2 linked regions of the Stegostoma tigrinum genome follow. The protein of the gene in region 1 purifies or fractionates together with the protein of each later gene. This does not show direct contact. Links are inferred from orthologs where the notes say so. Each region holds a gene or a part of one and is shown on either strand. Other genes may lie near its edges.

Region 1 (7,939 bases):
CGCGCCATCCTGCGTTGTCGGAGGGTCCGAGGCGGACAATGTTTGGGGCCCAGGGCACGACCCTGAGGAACTCCTGCAGAAATGTCCTGGAGCTGAGATGACTGACCTCGATCAACCACAACCATCTTCCTATGTGCCAGCTATGACCCCAACCAGCAGAGAGTTTGCCCCGCCACCCCGATGCCACACTCGGTCGAATGCAGCCTTGACCTCAAACTCAAGGACTCAGCACTTCTTTCTGTCCACGTTTGAACAAGGCTGGAATGAGGTCAGGAGCTGGGCAGTCACCGAGCAAGTTACTGTTTGATAGCGCTGTTAGTGAGACCTTCCATCACCTTAGTGGTGATTGAGAGGAGACCATTGGGGCGGTAATCGGCCGGGTTGGATATGTCCTGCTTTTTGTTTACAGGGCTTACTTGGGCAATTTTCCAGGTAGATGCCAGTGTTGTAACCGGACTGGAACAGCTCGGCTATGGGACCGGCAAGTTCTGGAGCACAAGTCTTCAGTACTACTGCAGGAATGTCGTCAGGGCCCATGGCCTTTACAGTATCCAGTGTCTCCAACTGTTTCTTGATATCAAATTGGCTGGAGACCGGGATACCCAGGCACATTGCAAGGGGCCGGGTTTGGGGGGGGGGGGGGGGGGGGGGGGTGAGCGCACATAAAATACCACAGTCGCTGGAATTCTGAAATGGACAGAGGATGCTGGAGAAACTCAGCAGGTCTGACAGCATCTGTCGACACACACAGACTCACAATTTTGAGTCCGCTCCTGGGATTGATGCAGAGGTCTCTCCCTGGTGTCCAAGCCCCCTTTAAGTCGTCATTGGACAAGCATATGGACGTACATGGAATAGTGTAGGTTAGATGGGCTTGAGGTCGGTATGACAGGTCGGCACAACTTCGAGGGCCGGAGGGCCTGTACTGTGCTGTAATGTTCTATGTTCTATGTGTATCCCTGCAAACACACCAGAGCCTGCAACACGTCGGGGGGGAGGCTACAGGCAAACTGGCCATTGCCCTTCCCCTGCCAACAAGGAGACTTTTACATGCACAGCAAGCTCCCGCATGCTACAGTTTGAAGACCCGACTGGTCAGTCTGGTCTTTCTTTGGAAAGCAACATCGGTGGTGTACACAGAGCCCCAGTCACACGTATTCGCTGTTACCACCCTCGGAGACAGACAGCACCCTGACCAAAACCGTGACGTGAGACAGTGCTCTGCTACACTCCTACAAGTTTATCGGCCAATTCAGCCCATCAAGTCTGCTCCCCCATTCAGTAAGATCATGACTGAGTTGATCACCACCCTCAAATCTGCTCTCCCGCCATTTCCCCATAACTCCTCGATTCCCCCTTCCTGCTTAAACATCTCTCTCTCTCAGCCTCAAATATAACCCCTCGATCCCCCCCCTTCCTGATTAAACATCTCTCTCTCTCAGCATTGAATATAACCCCTCGATCCCCCCCACTTCCTGATTAAACATCTCAGCCTCGAGCGACACAGCACCGACAGCCCTCTGCGGTGAGGAATTGCACAGACTCACTCCCCTTGGAGGGAGGAAAGTCCTCCCCATCTCTGCCCTCAATGGGCGACCCACCCACGTCCCCACCTTACTCTGAGAACGATGCCCGCTCTGGTCCTAGACTCTCCCACACAAAGCGTGGAAACGATCCCTCCGTATCTCCCCTGTCAGGCTCTCCCCCTCCCCACCCTGGCAGCCTTTTCTGTTTCAATAAGATCACCCCCTCACTCACCTAAACTCCACCTGACGTACTCAACCTCTCCCTCAGGAGGCAGCCCCTCCATCCCCCGGATTGGCCAATGAGCCTCCTCTCAACTGCAGTCTGTCTTTACTCAGACAATTGGGGCCCAGAACCGTTCACAGTAAACCAGCTGTGGTCTGGCTCTTTGCTTCGTACAGTTTTAGCACGAAACCCCTAAGTTTGTACTCTATTCCCTTAGAGAGACAAATCGATAGTCAGCCTGAACTTAGATGTTAGTTTTTTTTTGGAGATTTGTGCACGAGGACTCGCAAATCCCTCTGTTCCAAAGCTTTCCACATTTAAATAATATTCAACTCCTCTGTTCTTCCTGCTTAGGGTGCATTCCCCACCCGTCTCTGTAGTGCAGCAGCTGCTCGGTTACTGGCCCAGTGCAAATGGAAATTTGCTCTCAACTTTTGCTTTAACCTGTGGTTCTGGTTGTGCAGACTGCCCTCAGCACTCAAGCCTCCCCCCCCCCCACCACCCGCCCCACTATTTTTGGGCGCGCCTGCCTGCATCTCGGAAGCAACGAGGCGCAGGTCAAAGGACTGACGTGGCGGGTTTTTAAAAATAGGTGAGGTGAGACGAAGCGACAGGGGACGCGGGCCTGGTCTCTATCTCCCCCGCCGAGACGGGCAGGCTGGTGGTGAGGTGCAATGCGATCACCGTCTGCACTTTGGGGCCGAACAGGCTCTGCTAGGCGCACAGGAGGAGAAAGAAACATACAAGCTGCTCGGTTATTTATAACTGCGACCGCATCAGTTTACAGACTTGGGAGAATGTGGCTGGTGGAGGGGCGATATTACCAGGAGGCAGTCCTTGTTGGTGGTGGGAGCAGACAGGTCAGACCCCGGCAGACGTTGGGATACAAATCCTGAGGGATGCTGGAGAAACTCAGCAGGGCTGGCAGTCCCCTGGATGGAGGGGTGAGGGGGATTGTGGATGTGGAGGAGAGAAATGGACTTGTCTCGGGCCTGGTATCACTGTTAGACTGCCTCACCCTCACTGCACATGCACAATGACTCTCAACCTCACCTTGTACACACAAGCAAGGACTCATTCCAACATCACGTGCACACGCACGCCCCCATCCTCCTCCCACCCTGATACGCAGACAGATGCACCGCTCTCCCGTGTATAGAGATACACACGCATGGCCACCATATACGCACCTCATCCCCCCTCATGCACACTTCCCCACATCCACGTGTGCAGTCACAACACACACACACACACTCCATATATATGCAATCCCCCTATACATGACCACCCCCCAATGTACACACAGGTCCTATACACAGGTCAGTCCCGTACGCAGCCCCAAATACACAGGTCGGTCCCGTATGCAGCCCCAGTACACACGCACATTCCACATACAACTCCAAACACACCCACCCTCCATATACACGACAGTCCCATTCACTGCCCCAAATACACCCGCCCACCCCGCCTCCATACACACCCGCCACCCCCCCCGCCTCCATACACACCCGCCACCCCCCCCGCCTCCATACACACCCGCCACCCCGCCTCCATATACACGCTGGTCCCATTCACTGCCCCAAATACACGCCCCTCCCCCCCCCCAAATACACGCCCCTCCCCCCCCCAAATACACGCCCCTCCCCCCCCAAATACACGCCCCTCCCCCCCCAAATACACGCCCCTCCCCCCCAGTACACGCCCCTCCCCCCCCAAATACACGCCCCTCCCCCCCAGTACACGCCCCTCCCCCCCAGTACACGCCCCTCCCCCCCCCAAATACACGCCCCTCCCCCCCCCCAAATACACGCCCCTCCCCCCCCCCCCCAAATACACGCCCCTCCCCCCCCAAATACACGCCCCTCTCCCCCCAAATACACGCCCCTCCCCCCCCCAAATACACGCCCCTCCCCCCCCAAATACACGCCCCTCCCCCCCCCAAATACACGCCCCTCCCCCCCCCAAATACACGCCCCTCCCCCCCCCCCAAATACACGCCCCTCCCCCCCCCCAAATACACGCCCCTCCCCCCCCCCAAATACACGCCCCTCCCCCCCCCCAAATACACGCCCCACCCCCCTAAATACACGCCGGTCCCATACACAACCCCAAATACACCCCACCCCCAACGTACGTCCTACATACGCCCCGTACACACCCCATAATTACATACCCTGACACAGAGGCAGAGGCAGAGGCAGAGGCTCCCCTCCCAACCTCACACCTTCCCTGTTCCCTCCGCTCACCTCCCGGCCTCCCCCAGTGTCAGCTTCTGGGACCCGGTATCAGGGGGAGCCCCCACTTCTCCCCCTGTCCCTGGGGCCTGATCCCTGTTTCTCTCACCTTCCGCTGCCGGCCCTGACTGACGTTGACGCCGACCAATCCGAGCGGCCGCCTCCTCCGCACCTCTCCACCCTGCCCCGCCTCCTTCGCCGGGTTTCTCCAATCCGAACCCGACCAGGCGCCGTCTCCGCCTTCGAATGGCTGCCCCGTCACCCAATCAGCGGGAAACGCTCACGTCGGAACCAATGGCAGCTCCAGTGGTTGAGGAAGCCTACTCGGATTGGTCAAGCGCTCACAGCCATTTAGACTGCTACCCGCCCCCTTCACGCATCGAACCAATGGGAGGGCGGGTCAGAAAAAAGACGTGACATTTAACCATTCAGCAGTCAGGCTTGTTGTCCGCCTTCCCCCATCTTAGGCCAATGGAAGACAAAGATTCTCCAAAGGACACACCATTTCACCAATAAAAAGGCAGCATGGAAATCCCGCCTCCATCTCTGACCAATAGTGGGTACCCAATTACTGATGGACGCGGCTCCTAACCAATCGAAGGGTGGAGATTCTATCCTCCCCGTCCCGCCCCTCCGTCGACCCACACGATGGGCGCGGCTTCCCTCCAACAGCCGCCGGGCTTATGTCACGCCCCTTCCAAATCGAGCCACTGGGGTGAGGGCCTGCGCTCTGACGGACGTGGATTCCGACCAGTAGGCGCTGGCGTGGGCGGAGCCGCGCCCTGGAGGTGTGTCAAGGAGACCCCGATGGGCAGGGGCTTCGGTCCAATCAGGTGCCGTGCCCGCGGGGGGCGGGAGAGCGAGAGAGATCGCAGTTAGAGAGAGAGAGTTCAAACTGCAAATACGGAGTTATCAGAGAGAGAGAGAAAAAGGGGGAAAGTAGTCATTGTGAGGGTAAAATTAGTCAAACAGACAGAGGGGGGCAAAGAAGTGAAAGAGAGAGAGAGAGAAAAAAGGGGGGGAAGTGAGAAAGAGAAAACAGTGAAGGGGGAAGAGAAAGAGGAGAAAAAAGTGAAGGAAAGAGAAAGAAAAAAGTGAGGTGGAGAGAGAGAAAACAGTGAAGGAGAGAGAGAAAATAGTCAAGGAGGAAGAGAAAGAGGAGAAAAAGGTGAAGGAAATAGAAAGAAAAAAAAACAGTGAGAGAAGAAGAGAGAGAAAATAGTCAAGGAGGAAGAGAAAGAGGAGAAAAAGGTGAAGGAAATAGAAAGAAAAAAGTGAGGTGGAGAGAGAGAAAACAGTAAAGGAGAGAGAGAAAATAGTCAAGGAGGAAGAGAAAGAGGAGAAGAAGGTGAAGGAAATAGAAAGAAAAAACCTTGAGAGAAGAAGAGAGAGAAAATAGTCAAGGAGGAAGAGAAAGAGGAGAAGAAAGTGAAGGAAAGACGTGGGGGGGACGAAGAGGGAGAAAATAGTGAGGCATAGAAAGGAAAAGTAGTGAAGGAAGGAAGAGATGGGGAAAAAGTGAAGGAAAGAGAGAGAGAGAGAGAAATTAGAGAAGTAGAGAAAGGTGGAAAAGAGGGAGAAAATAGTGGGTCGGAGAAAGGGAAAGTCGTGAAGGAGGGAGAAAATTGTGAATGTGGAAGAGATGGAAAAAAAGTGAAGGGGAGAGAGAGAGAGAGAAAATATTGAAGTGGAGAGAAGGGTAGAAAGCGAAAGAGAGAAGGAAACAAGTGAAAGACAGAGATAAGATAGTGACAGAAAAAGAGAGGAAAAATGGTGAGACAGAGAGTGGGGCGAAAGTGAGTGAAAGAGAGAAAGTAGTGAAGGGAAAAGAGTCAGGGAGAGAAAACAGTGAAGGAGAGAGAGTTTAAATTGGAAATAGATAATAGAGTTGTCAGAGAGGCAGAGGAATATAAAGTGGAAATATATAAAGTAGAGTTATCAGAGAGAAAATAGTGAATAAGAGAAAGTTAATAGTAAAAGGGAGAAAGCGTGCATTGGGAAATATGTAAGTATAGAGTTATCACACAGAGGGAGAGGAAGAGAAAATAGTGAGGGAGACGGTTTAAACTGGAAATAGACTGTACGAGTGAACACAGACAGACAGAGAGAGAGAGAAGAGAATGGTGTAGAAAAAAGTGAGGAGGGAGCAAATAGTGTGACATTGTGAGGAAGTAGTGAGAAAATTAAATAGATAGAGAGACAGTGTCGGTGAAAACAGAGAGGCAGAATGGAGTGTGATTGAAAGCAGCGAGAGAGAAAACCGATTTTGAATAGAGTTGGAGAAACTGAGAAGTCAAGCAGACAGTGGGTCAACAGTGCGCGTGAGAGAGAATCGAGGGAGAGGTAACGGTGAGGGAGTGGCCTGGAGAGAGAGAGAGAGAGAGAGATAGAGAGAATCGTTGTGGAGGGAGTGTTGGGCAGGAAGGACAGAGAGTAGCTTGAGGGAGATGGTCTGGAGATAACGGATTATTCAGAGCGAGAGAGAGAGAGAGAGAGAGAAGATCTTGGGAGAATGAGAGGACCCAGGGCTGTGTGAGTGTCGGATAAAGTTGGGCAGCAGTCAGAGGCCAGAGAGCGGTTGCAGTGCGGGCTGCGAGACGGGGTGAGGTGGAGCGCCGTGACCCATGGAGGAGATACTGAGAGGGTTCCTGCAGCACCTCGCTGAGCTGGAGAAGGCGGATGGAGACGAGAGCGGATTCAGCAAGGAATTCAGTGTAAGCCTGGGCCGCGGTACCGCTGGCAGGGTGTGGGTCCCAGCTCGCTCGCTGGATGGTGTCGGGTTCGGAATGGTCTCTGCTACCCCCCCCCCACCCCCAACCCCACCCCCACCTCACCTCACTAGCTCTGGGGAGGTGCGGGAGAAACCCGTGGTGATCATCTGTGAGTAAGGTAATAGGTGGAAGGGCTGAGTGGCCTGCGTCAGTGAGTCTGCACATCCTGGTCGATCGGATCTCAGTGAGCAAGGGTCACAGCTCCCCAGGCAGAATGTACAATGACCTCTGCCCCTCCCACTCCCTTTCCCAACACTCCTAGCCCCCCAGCATTTTCTCGTACACCTACAGGGGTCAGCCCTTGCTCAGCTCCCTCAGCCATGGTGAAGATGGCAAAACTGGACTAAGAGCCTGTAAACTGCAGCTCTAGTCATTACTTCAGCTGTTAAACATGGCAATTTGTGTGTGTGTGTGTGTGTATACGTGCATGTGTGCGCATGCGCCACTTGTCTATGTGTGTGTGTGTGTCTCCCTGTGAGAGTGTGTATGTGTGGATGCATGTCTCCGTGTCTGTGTGTGTGCACATGCATGTGACTGCCTGTCTATCTTTCATATCAGTCTCTGACTGTCTGTCCGACTGTGTGTCTGAGTGACAGCGTGACTATCTGACTGTGTCTGTGCTGTCTGACTGTGCCTGGCTGTATTTGTGTGTGTGCGACTGTGTGTCTGTGTCTGTCTGACTGTGTGTCCATATGTCTGTGTGACTGTCGGTGTCCTGTCTGTCTGCCTCGGTTGCTAGCTGTGTCTGTGTGAGTTTGTATGGCTGTTTGATAATGTGTGTCTGTGTGACTTTCTGACTGACCGTGTGTCTGCCTGACTGTGTGTATCTGTGTGACTTGCTAACTATGTGTGTCTGTGAGAGAGACTGCGCGACTCTGACTGTGTGTGTGTGTGAGAGAGAGTGTGTGTGTGTGTGTGTGTGTGTGTGTGTGTGTGTGTGTGTGAGAGAGAGAGCGACAGTCTGTGTGACTCTGTGACTGTGTATGAGAGAGAGAGACTGCGTGACTCTGTGATTGTGTGTGCGCGCGCGCACCTGTGTGTGTGTGTGTGTGTGTGAGAGAGAGAGACTGCGTGACTGTGTGCGCGCGAGAGACTGTCTGCGCGACTGTGACTGTGCGCGTGCGAGAGACCATCTGCACGACTGTGACTGTGCGCGCGCGAGAGACCGTCTGCGCGACTGTGACT
Region 2 (8,036 bases), on another chromosome or scaffold:
ACGACACTAAGGTCAGTGAAGTTGTGGATAGTGACGAAGGATGCTGTAGGTTGCAGAGAGACATAGATAAGCTGCAGAGCTGGGCTGAGAGGTGGCAAATGGAGTTTAATGCAGACAAGTGTGAGGTGATGCACTTTGGTAGGAGTAACCAGAAGGCAAAGTACAGGGCTAATGGTAAGATTCTTAGTAGTGTAGATGAGCAGAGAGATCTCGGTGTCCATGTTCACAGATCCTTGAAAGTTGCCACCCAGGTTGACAGGGCTGTTAAGGCGGCATACAGTGTTTTAGCTTTTATTAATAGAGGGATCTAGTTCCGGAACCATGAGGTTATGCTGCAACTGTACAAAAGTCTGGTGCGGCCGCACTTGGAGTATTGCGTACAGTTCTGGTCACCGTATTATAAGAAGGATGTGGAAGCTTTGGAAAGGGTGCAGAGGAGATTTACTAGGATGTTGCCTGGTATGGAGGGAAGGTCTTATGAGGAAAGGCTGAGGGACTTGAAGCTGTTTTCATTAGAGAGAAGAAGGTTGAGAGGTGACTTATTTGAAACATATGAAATAATCAGAGGGTTAGATAGGGTGGATAGGGAGAGCCTTTTTCCTAGGATGGTGACGGTGAGCATGAGGGGGCATAGCTTTAAATTGAGGGCTGAAAGATATAGGACAGATGTCAGAGGTAGTTTCTTTACTCAGAGAGTAGTAAGGGAATGGAACGCTTTGCCTGCAATGGTAGTAGATTCGCCAACTTTAGGTACAAAGTCGTCATTGGATAAGCATATGGATGTACATGGAATAGCGTAGGTTAGATGGGCTTGAGATCGGTATGACAGGTCGGCACAACATCAAGAGCTGAAGGGCCTGTACTGTGCTGTAATGTTCTATGTTCTATCTCCTTGGTGGATCTTCACCTGGATATTTCTCCTTCAGGAGACTGTGCAGCAGTTGCTGGTGTTTGCCGTTCCTACTAGCTTTGATGAGGATGCTGTTTCCTTCTATATTATGCAGTTGTACAAAGACTTCAAGGATTCCGGCCATTGTGAGAATATCGGGTCATTAAAGTGCCGCATAGATGCTGGGGTGTCAAGCTACATCATGATCTTCAGTCTGATGTGAAGTGATGTAACATGGTGATTTGAAAATGAAGCCGTCAAAAGTAAGGTTAAGATTTTATGATGGTACCACACTATTCCACTTCCCAGCACTTGATATGTATAGCTCATCCAAGTACTTATTACAATTTGTGATGTTTCCCAGCTCTATTTCCCTGTCTCGTAGTGCATTCCAGATTTTCATGTCTGTCTGGGTGAAAAGCTCTTTCCTCAAATCCCCTCCAATGCTCCTGCCTTTCACCTTGAAACTATGCCCCCTCGTTATTAATCCTTCAACTAAGGGGAACAGCTGCTTCCTATTCACCCTGTCCATGCCCCTGATAATCTTATACACCTCAAGCAAAATCCTGCTTAGCCATCTCCGCTCTAACAAAAAGAACACAAACCTATCCAGCCTCTCTTCATGGCTAAAATGCTTCATCTTAGTCAACCACCTGGTGAATCTCCTCTGCATCTTCTCCAGTGCTTCCTATTTATATCTTCCCATACAGCAATGACCAGACATGCACACAGTACTCCAGCTGTGGCCCAACTAAAGTTTTGTACAGCTGTAACAAACCAGCGTCAACAAAACCTTGTACAGTGTGAACAGAATCTTCCTGTTCTGATAAATTATGCAATGATTGACAAACACAAGTGTCCTGCATGCCTTCTTAACTATCCTATTAGCCTGTCCTGACAAGTGTCCTGACACCTTCAGATGTCTGTAGACAGCATCCGAAGGAACCTCTGCTCTATATTCTGCCATTACAACAATGAAGATCTGGAGTTCCACATCATAGACGGCACGCAATGCCAAACATCCCTGCCACAATGAGTCTAAGGCTTGGACTGGCAACCCACAAAGTGCCAAAGCAGCTTTGTACTCATGTCACATCAGTCCCTAAGATAACCATTGAAAGAATCTTTCCAAACTTGCTAAATCTTCAACACCAAAGCATGGATATTGGCAAAACTGAAATCTGGCTTGATAGATCGTATTTTGTTTTGTTTTAGTTTTAACAAGGTTGTCTCTCATTAAAGTATAAGTACACAATGTTACAGATTTTGTTTTAAAACAAGTTTATTAACCAGAAAAATTAAGAAAAATATATAATAAACCAAATTATTTAGTTATCTTTCAAATTCAAAGATTCTTACACGCAGAAGTATTATTCTATTAATCCCAAAACACTTACAAATTCCAAAATAAAAACATTCATTGTACAGTTCCTAAAACCACTCCTTGTATAGTACTTCCACCAGGGAAAAATACATCTCTTCCTAATACTTTGATAGGGTTAAGGTGACTGTGTATTTAATTCCTAAACTGGAAATGCTGATAGTTTGTCTGTGGAACTATCATACACCTGTTCTTAAAGGCACTTAACTTCAGATACACACTTCAGCTTTTATCCCAACACTTTTGATTTGCTACTATCACTAACTCCCTACTCTAAGGTAAACTTATTATATTCTCCCCTTCCCAGGTGTACTGTTCTGGATAATTATTCCTCTCAAAGGGCTTCAACGAGCTGATAGAAAAGAAAAGCAAAATTGGAAACAGCTCTCTCTAAACTATGAGGATTTTCCTACGCTTAGGAAAACCATAACAGAAATTTCTAACGGACCTTCAAGCACAATGTTTTCCTTTACTAAGGCGTGAAACATCCTAAGGTAAACAAAGAAAAATTAGAGAGATACCAAGGTGTGGAGCTGGATGAATACAGCAGGCCAAGCAGCATCCTAGGAGCAGAAAAGCTGACGTTTCAGGCCTAGGCCCTTATTCAGAAAGAAAAATTAATTTTTCTGATGAAGGCTCTAGGCCCGAAATGTCAGCTTTCCTGCTCCTAGGATGCTGCTTGGCCTGCTGTATTCATCCAGCTCCACACCTTGGTATCTCGGATTCGCCAGCATCTGCAGCTCCTATTATCTCTGATACAAAGAAAATTTAATGCTGCCAAAGTAGCTCTCACAAACTGTTCTAACAAATAAAACAAAAAAAATCACCATTTCTACAGAAAGTTAATTATCACCTTCAGACACTCAGAAAAGTCACACGACACCAACTCAAATTGTAAAACCCAAACTAAAAATAAATGACCCATGTTGTACACATGTAAGAGAAAGAACCAAACCACAACCTAATTCCAATTGTGATTTCTCTCCACAAATGCTGCCAAAGCTGCTGAGCTTTTACAGCAATTTCTGTTTTTGTCAGCAGGTCTGGCAGCATGTGTGAACGGAAAAACAGAGGTAACGTTTTGGTTCCGGTCAACAGACCTGAAATGTTAACTCTCTTTTTTTCCTTCACAGATGCTGCCAAATCCGCTGAGTTCCTGATTTACAGCATCCACAGTTATTTCAGTTTTTATCCAGGAAAATGAGTTGTTTCAGATTCTATTGATAATCTCCCAAGCATGGTTGGACTTTGACATTTTTGTGGCCCTCATAATTTTTGCAGAGTTTGATTTTTTTGTGTTTTTAAATAGATTTCTTGTTTTCCATGTGATTGTATGCCTAATATTATTGGGTGATCCACAATTGACTAAGCAGAGAGTTATGGTGAAAAGTAGAGCACGGTGACTCAGCGGTTAGCTCTGCTGCCTCATTGCGCTAGGGATCCGGGTTCAATTCCACCCTCGGGTAACTTTGTGGAGTTTGCACATTCTCCCTAGTGTCTGCGTGGGTTTCCTCCTGGTGCTCTGGTTTCCTCCCACAGTCCAAAGATGTGCAGGTTAGGTGGATTGCCCATAGAGTTCAGGGACGTGTAGATAGGGGGATGGGTCTGGGTGGGATGCTCTGAGGGTCAGTGTGGACTTGTTGGGCCGAAGGGCCTGCTTCCACACTGTAGGGATTCTGTGATGATCTGAGATATCAGTGAAGAATACAGTGGTAACCCCTGGTGGCAAACATTGGGACCACAGCTCTTTCTGGTATATATTAACAACCCATGCTTGGGATCAGAGAGCATAATTACAAATTTTACAGTTGTATTGAAATCTGGAAACATAGTGTCAGTGAGCATGACAGTAGCACACTTCCAAAGGAGAGAAAGCCTGGCGCAACGAGCAGACAGATGGAGATTAAATTTAATGTAGATCAGTGAGAAGTGATGCATTTTGATGGATAAGTAGGTAGAGTTGTAACAGAGTGCAACTAGAAAAAGACCTTGGGGTGTACAAGTACAACTTTGACAATGACACAAGTTCAGAAGGTTCTCAAAGAAAATATTGGATCCTTATAACTTGAGGCATAATGGCTGATTTGCGGTCCCACACTCTAGAAAGAATGTCAAAGCTTCAGAGAGCATGAAGAGGAGATTTATTAAAATAGTATGATAGGAATATGGGAACACGGGTTAATGGAGAACTTAGGTAGGTTAATTGCTTTGCAGCAGAGAAGATTTGATAATGGGTGCACTGAAAGTTACAGTAATTTCTTTCCAGCAGCAATTAATTACCAGACGGCACAAATTTAAGCTAATTGGCAAAAGAACTAGAGGTGATACAAGGAAAACACTGCACACAGTTGCTACGATCTGGAATACACTGCCTGTCAGTTTGTGGAAGCGGATTCAACTGTAAATGCTTACGCAAGGAATCAGGCCCTGCCTCGACCCCACTTTAGAAACTGCTGTGGAAGGATTACCCTATTGTACTGTAGAGACTAACTTTCTTTCCATGACGTGGCTGGCCAGGAATATCACTCCATCTCAACAAAATATTTCGGCAGGAGTTATAAATTGATACTCAACCTGCTTGACCTTGCTATGAACACAATTTTCTTGGACATTAAACACTGCATGGGGATCTCGATGCTGCAGTGCTGCAAGACCTCCTGTCTCTGAATTCTAGTAGATATCACCACTTTGCAATCGGTGCATTAATTTTGAGCGCCTAACGCCTGAGTGCTGACTGGAAAACAGGAATTTGCTTCTTCGTCATTTCAGTGAACAGTAAGCATCCCAACTCAAATAGAAATAATACCACGTGGATCAATGTATTGCAGCCTCCCTGCACATCCCCGGCAGACACCAGGACCCAGAGGAATCCAATTCTGTCTGTGTGCCTTTTTGGGTGAAGGAATTAAAAACAGTCGAAGGGTGGCGAATTAGACAAATGTCTTTCAGAGCAAGCAAATCATCGACAAGACAGTAGCACTCGTGAACCTGCTGACAAGACGGAACAGGAGTTTTCAGCAGCAAGTTGCTGCTGGATTTCTGGGGATAGTGTTAACGCAGGTTTGGCATTTAATTTCAACATGAGAGAGCCACGGTTTCGGGACAACTTCTGGGTAAGTGGCTTTCGCGCTGTCTGTCTAAGGCTGTACTCATTTATCTGCTGGGAATTTGATTGGGGAGGTGGGACATGGATTTTCATCTTAAGGTGTGCTTGTGCGTCTGTTAGATTTGTGAGTGGGTAAACATTCCCAATGTATTTTGTTTTACTGAACATCGAATACAGTTTAAGTTACGTAGGTGTCCCTTGCTCGTTCTCTCTCGGCATTTCAAGCTGACTCACACCTAAAATGCTCGCAACGAATCCCCACAGGCTGGTCCTGTAAAAAAATTTGTTACCTGGAAATCTGAGACCAATATCTGAAAAATGTTTCCCGTTCTTTTGAAGTGTTGTGTCTCAAATATTAATCCACCCCTCCCCAATTCGCAGATGTTGCCCGACGTGTTAACTATATTCAGCATTTTCCTTTAACTATAGAAGATAGCAGAGTGTGAAGAAAGTAAATACACATCTTCGATCTTTATTCCAGCTCAAGTTGTAGGTGCAAACCGGTTTGTTCTTTAGGATCGGTTTTTTTCCCTCTATTATTCATTAACCGGATGAGGGTGTCACTGGCTGAGCAGCATTTATTGCCCATCCGTAATTGCCCTGAAGGCAGTTCAGAGTCAACCACATCGCTGTGGGTCTGGAGTCACATGTAGGCCATACCGGGTAAGGATGGCAGTTTCCTTCCCTCAAGGACATTAGTGAACCAGGTGGGTTTTTCCTGACAATGGACAATGAATTCACGATCGTCCTTAGACTCTTAATTCCAGATATTTTTACTGAATTCAGATTCCACCATCTGCTGCAGTGGGATTCAAACCTGTGTCCCCAGAACGTTATCTGGGTCTCTGGATTAATAGTCTTGCGATAATACCACTAGGCTATTGCCTCCCCTAGTTAAGCCACTTGAAAGGGCAATTTCAAAAGTAAAATACTGGAAATCTGACAGATAAAGGATACCACTGGAAAAACTCAGTTTGATAGTTCTGAGTTCATGTTTCTTGGCCTTTCATTTTGGAGGTAGGAGGGACGTTGATATAAGCAGACAGTGGAGTCTGATTTCATCCTGCCTCCACCAGAATTGGGTTCTGGGCAGGAAAGTGCTTTTTTTCCACCCTCTTCACCAAAGTTGCTAGCTGTCCTGGAGATACCTTGTCACTTTTTGTGGGTAACTCTTGATTAAGGAACTGAACATCAGACTATGTGGTGCCAATTGGAAACCACGTCTTGTCCTTGCTTTTGCCACGCCCCAACTACCTTTGGCCTTGGCCCTGTGATCTTGGGTCTCAGTCTTAGCCTCCTCTATGGTGCTGCTGAGTGAAATGTGCTTGGGCTGTCATTGGCCAATGTTCCCCTTCATCTTCGACTGCAAGGAAAGACCCATCATTTCTGGGTGTACATGTGGGGTTTGTGGGTTTTCCCTGTAGCTGGCTGATGAGACCCTCCATAGCCATTCCACCATTTGGCCTTCCCTGGTATTGCTGCATACACTGCGTGGAAGGAGAAATGGAGTAGATTCATTGAGGCAAAATCTCAGTTTGAGAAGCAGCTGAAAACTGAGCTGGAGCCAGAACCCCAGGTGAACTTTGCTGCTCCAGCCATTTACGTCATGATTTAATGTGGCTTGTGCCAGCATGGGATTATCGTAACTTCAGGTTTCGGCATGAGGAAAATGTTTGGTAAACTTATCTGAGACAGGAACACTTCCGGATCCACCCAGTTCACTGATGAAAGGGATGGTAGCACCATGATAAAGGATTCTATTCATCAAAGTAGGTGGTGCACTGATGATGTTTCGGTGACAACCTCAGAGAACCTCTGCTGAGGCAGTTGTAGGTGGACTGCGCAATAAACCTGCAACATCAGTGTTGTCTCACAATGCTGTCAGGAACCAATTTTAAATCTGTGAAATTGCCTGCCCCATCACCATCTGAGATAGCTGTGCTCATCCAATTCTAGCCTATCATCCCACCGTCCACCTTCCTGATCTTTTTTTGCTCCACCATTTGGTAGCGGTGTCTTCAGCTACCCAGGCCTAGCTCCATAAACCTCTCCACCTTGCTCTGCCTCACTTTGCTCCTTTATGACTTTCTCCTTGCAACCTACCTGGTCATCTGACCCACGCTCCCTCCACCACGTTGTTCTGTGTCATATTTGGTTTCAGAAGGCAACTGCAAAGTGCCTTAAAGAGCATGGGACTTTTATGTTGAGGTTATCGCATAAATAGAAGATGTTGTTGTGATGCATAGCATCTTTTCTCTTGCTTCCACATGCAAACAACAATCTGATGGTAGAGAACAGCTCTGTGAAAGTGAAACTATTACGAATTCTCAGAAACACTTCTCAGAGACAGGTTGAACTGGTTTTGGGATGCAGTGGGTGGAGGGGAAGAGCTGGGCTGGTTGTGTGGTGCAGTGGGGGCAGGGGACGAACTGGGCTGGTTTAGGGATGCGGTGGGGGAAGGGGAGATTTTGAAACTGGTGAAGTCCACATTGATACCATTAGGCTGCAGGGTTCCCAGGCGGAATATGAGTTGCTGTTCCTGCAACCTTCGAGTGGCATCATTGTGGCACTGCAGGAGGCCCATGATGGACATGTCATCTAGAGAATGGGAGGGGGAGTGGAAATGGTTTGCGACTGGGAGGTGCAGTTGTTTGTTGCGG

What was found.
Region 2: the proteins of ptpn18 (region 1) and pstpip2 purify together in Homo sapiens (affinity purification with mass spectrometry; 4 studies listed by BioGRID and IntAct, with this or other methods). This does not show direct contact. The link is inferred for Stegostoma tigrinum from reciprocal best matches to the Homo sapiens genes PTPN18 and PSTPIP2.

What each region holds. Positions count from the first base shown.
Region 1 is NC_081402.1:2,190,066-2,198,004, forward strand, and holds the start of ptpn18 (tyrosine-protein phosphatase non-receptor type 18), read left to right. Parts: upstream 1-4,838; 5' UTR 4,839-6,607; coding exon 6,608-6,697; intron 6,698-7,939. UniProt on the Homo sapiens protein: Differentially dephosphorylate autophosphorylated tyrosine kinases which are known to be overexpressed in tumor tissues.
Region 2 is NC_081354.1:162,349,568-162,357,603, forward strand, and holds the start of pstpip2 (proline-serine-threonine phosphatase-interacting protein 2), read left to right. Parts: upstream 1-5,032; 5' UTR 5,033-5,350; coding exon 5,351-5,383; intron 5,384-8,036. UniProt on the Homo sapiens protein: Binds to F-actin. May be involved in regulation of the actin cytoskeleton.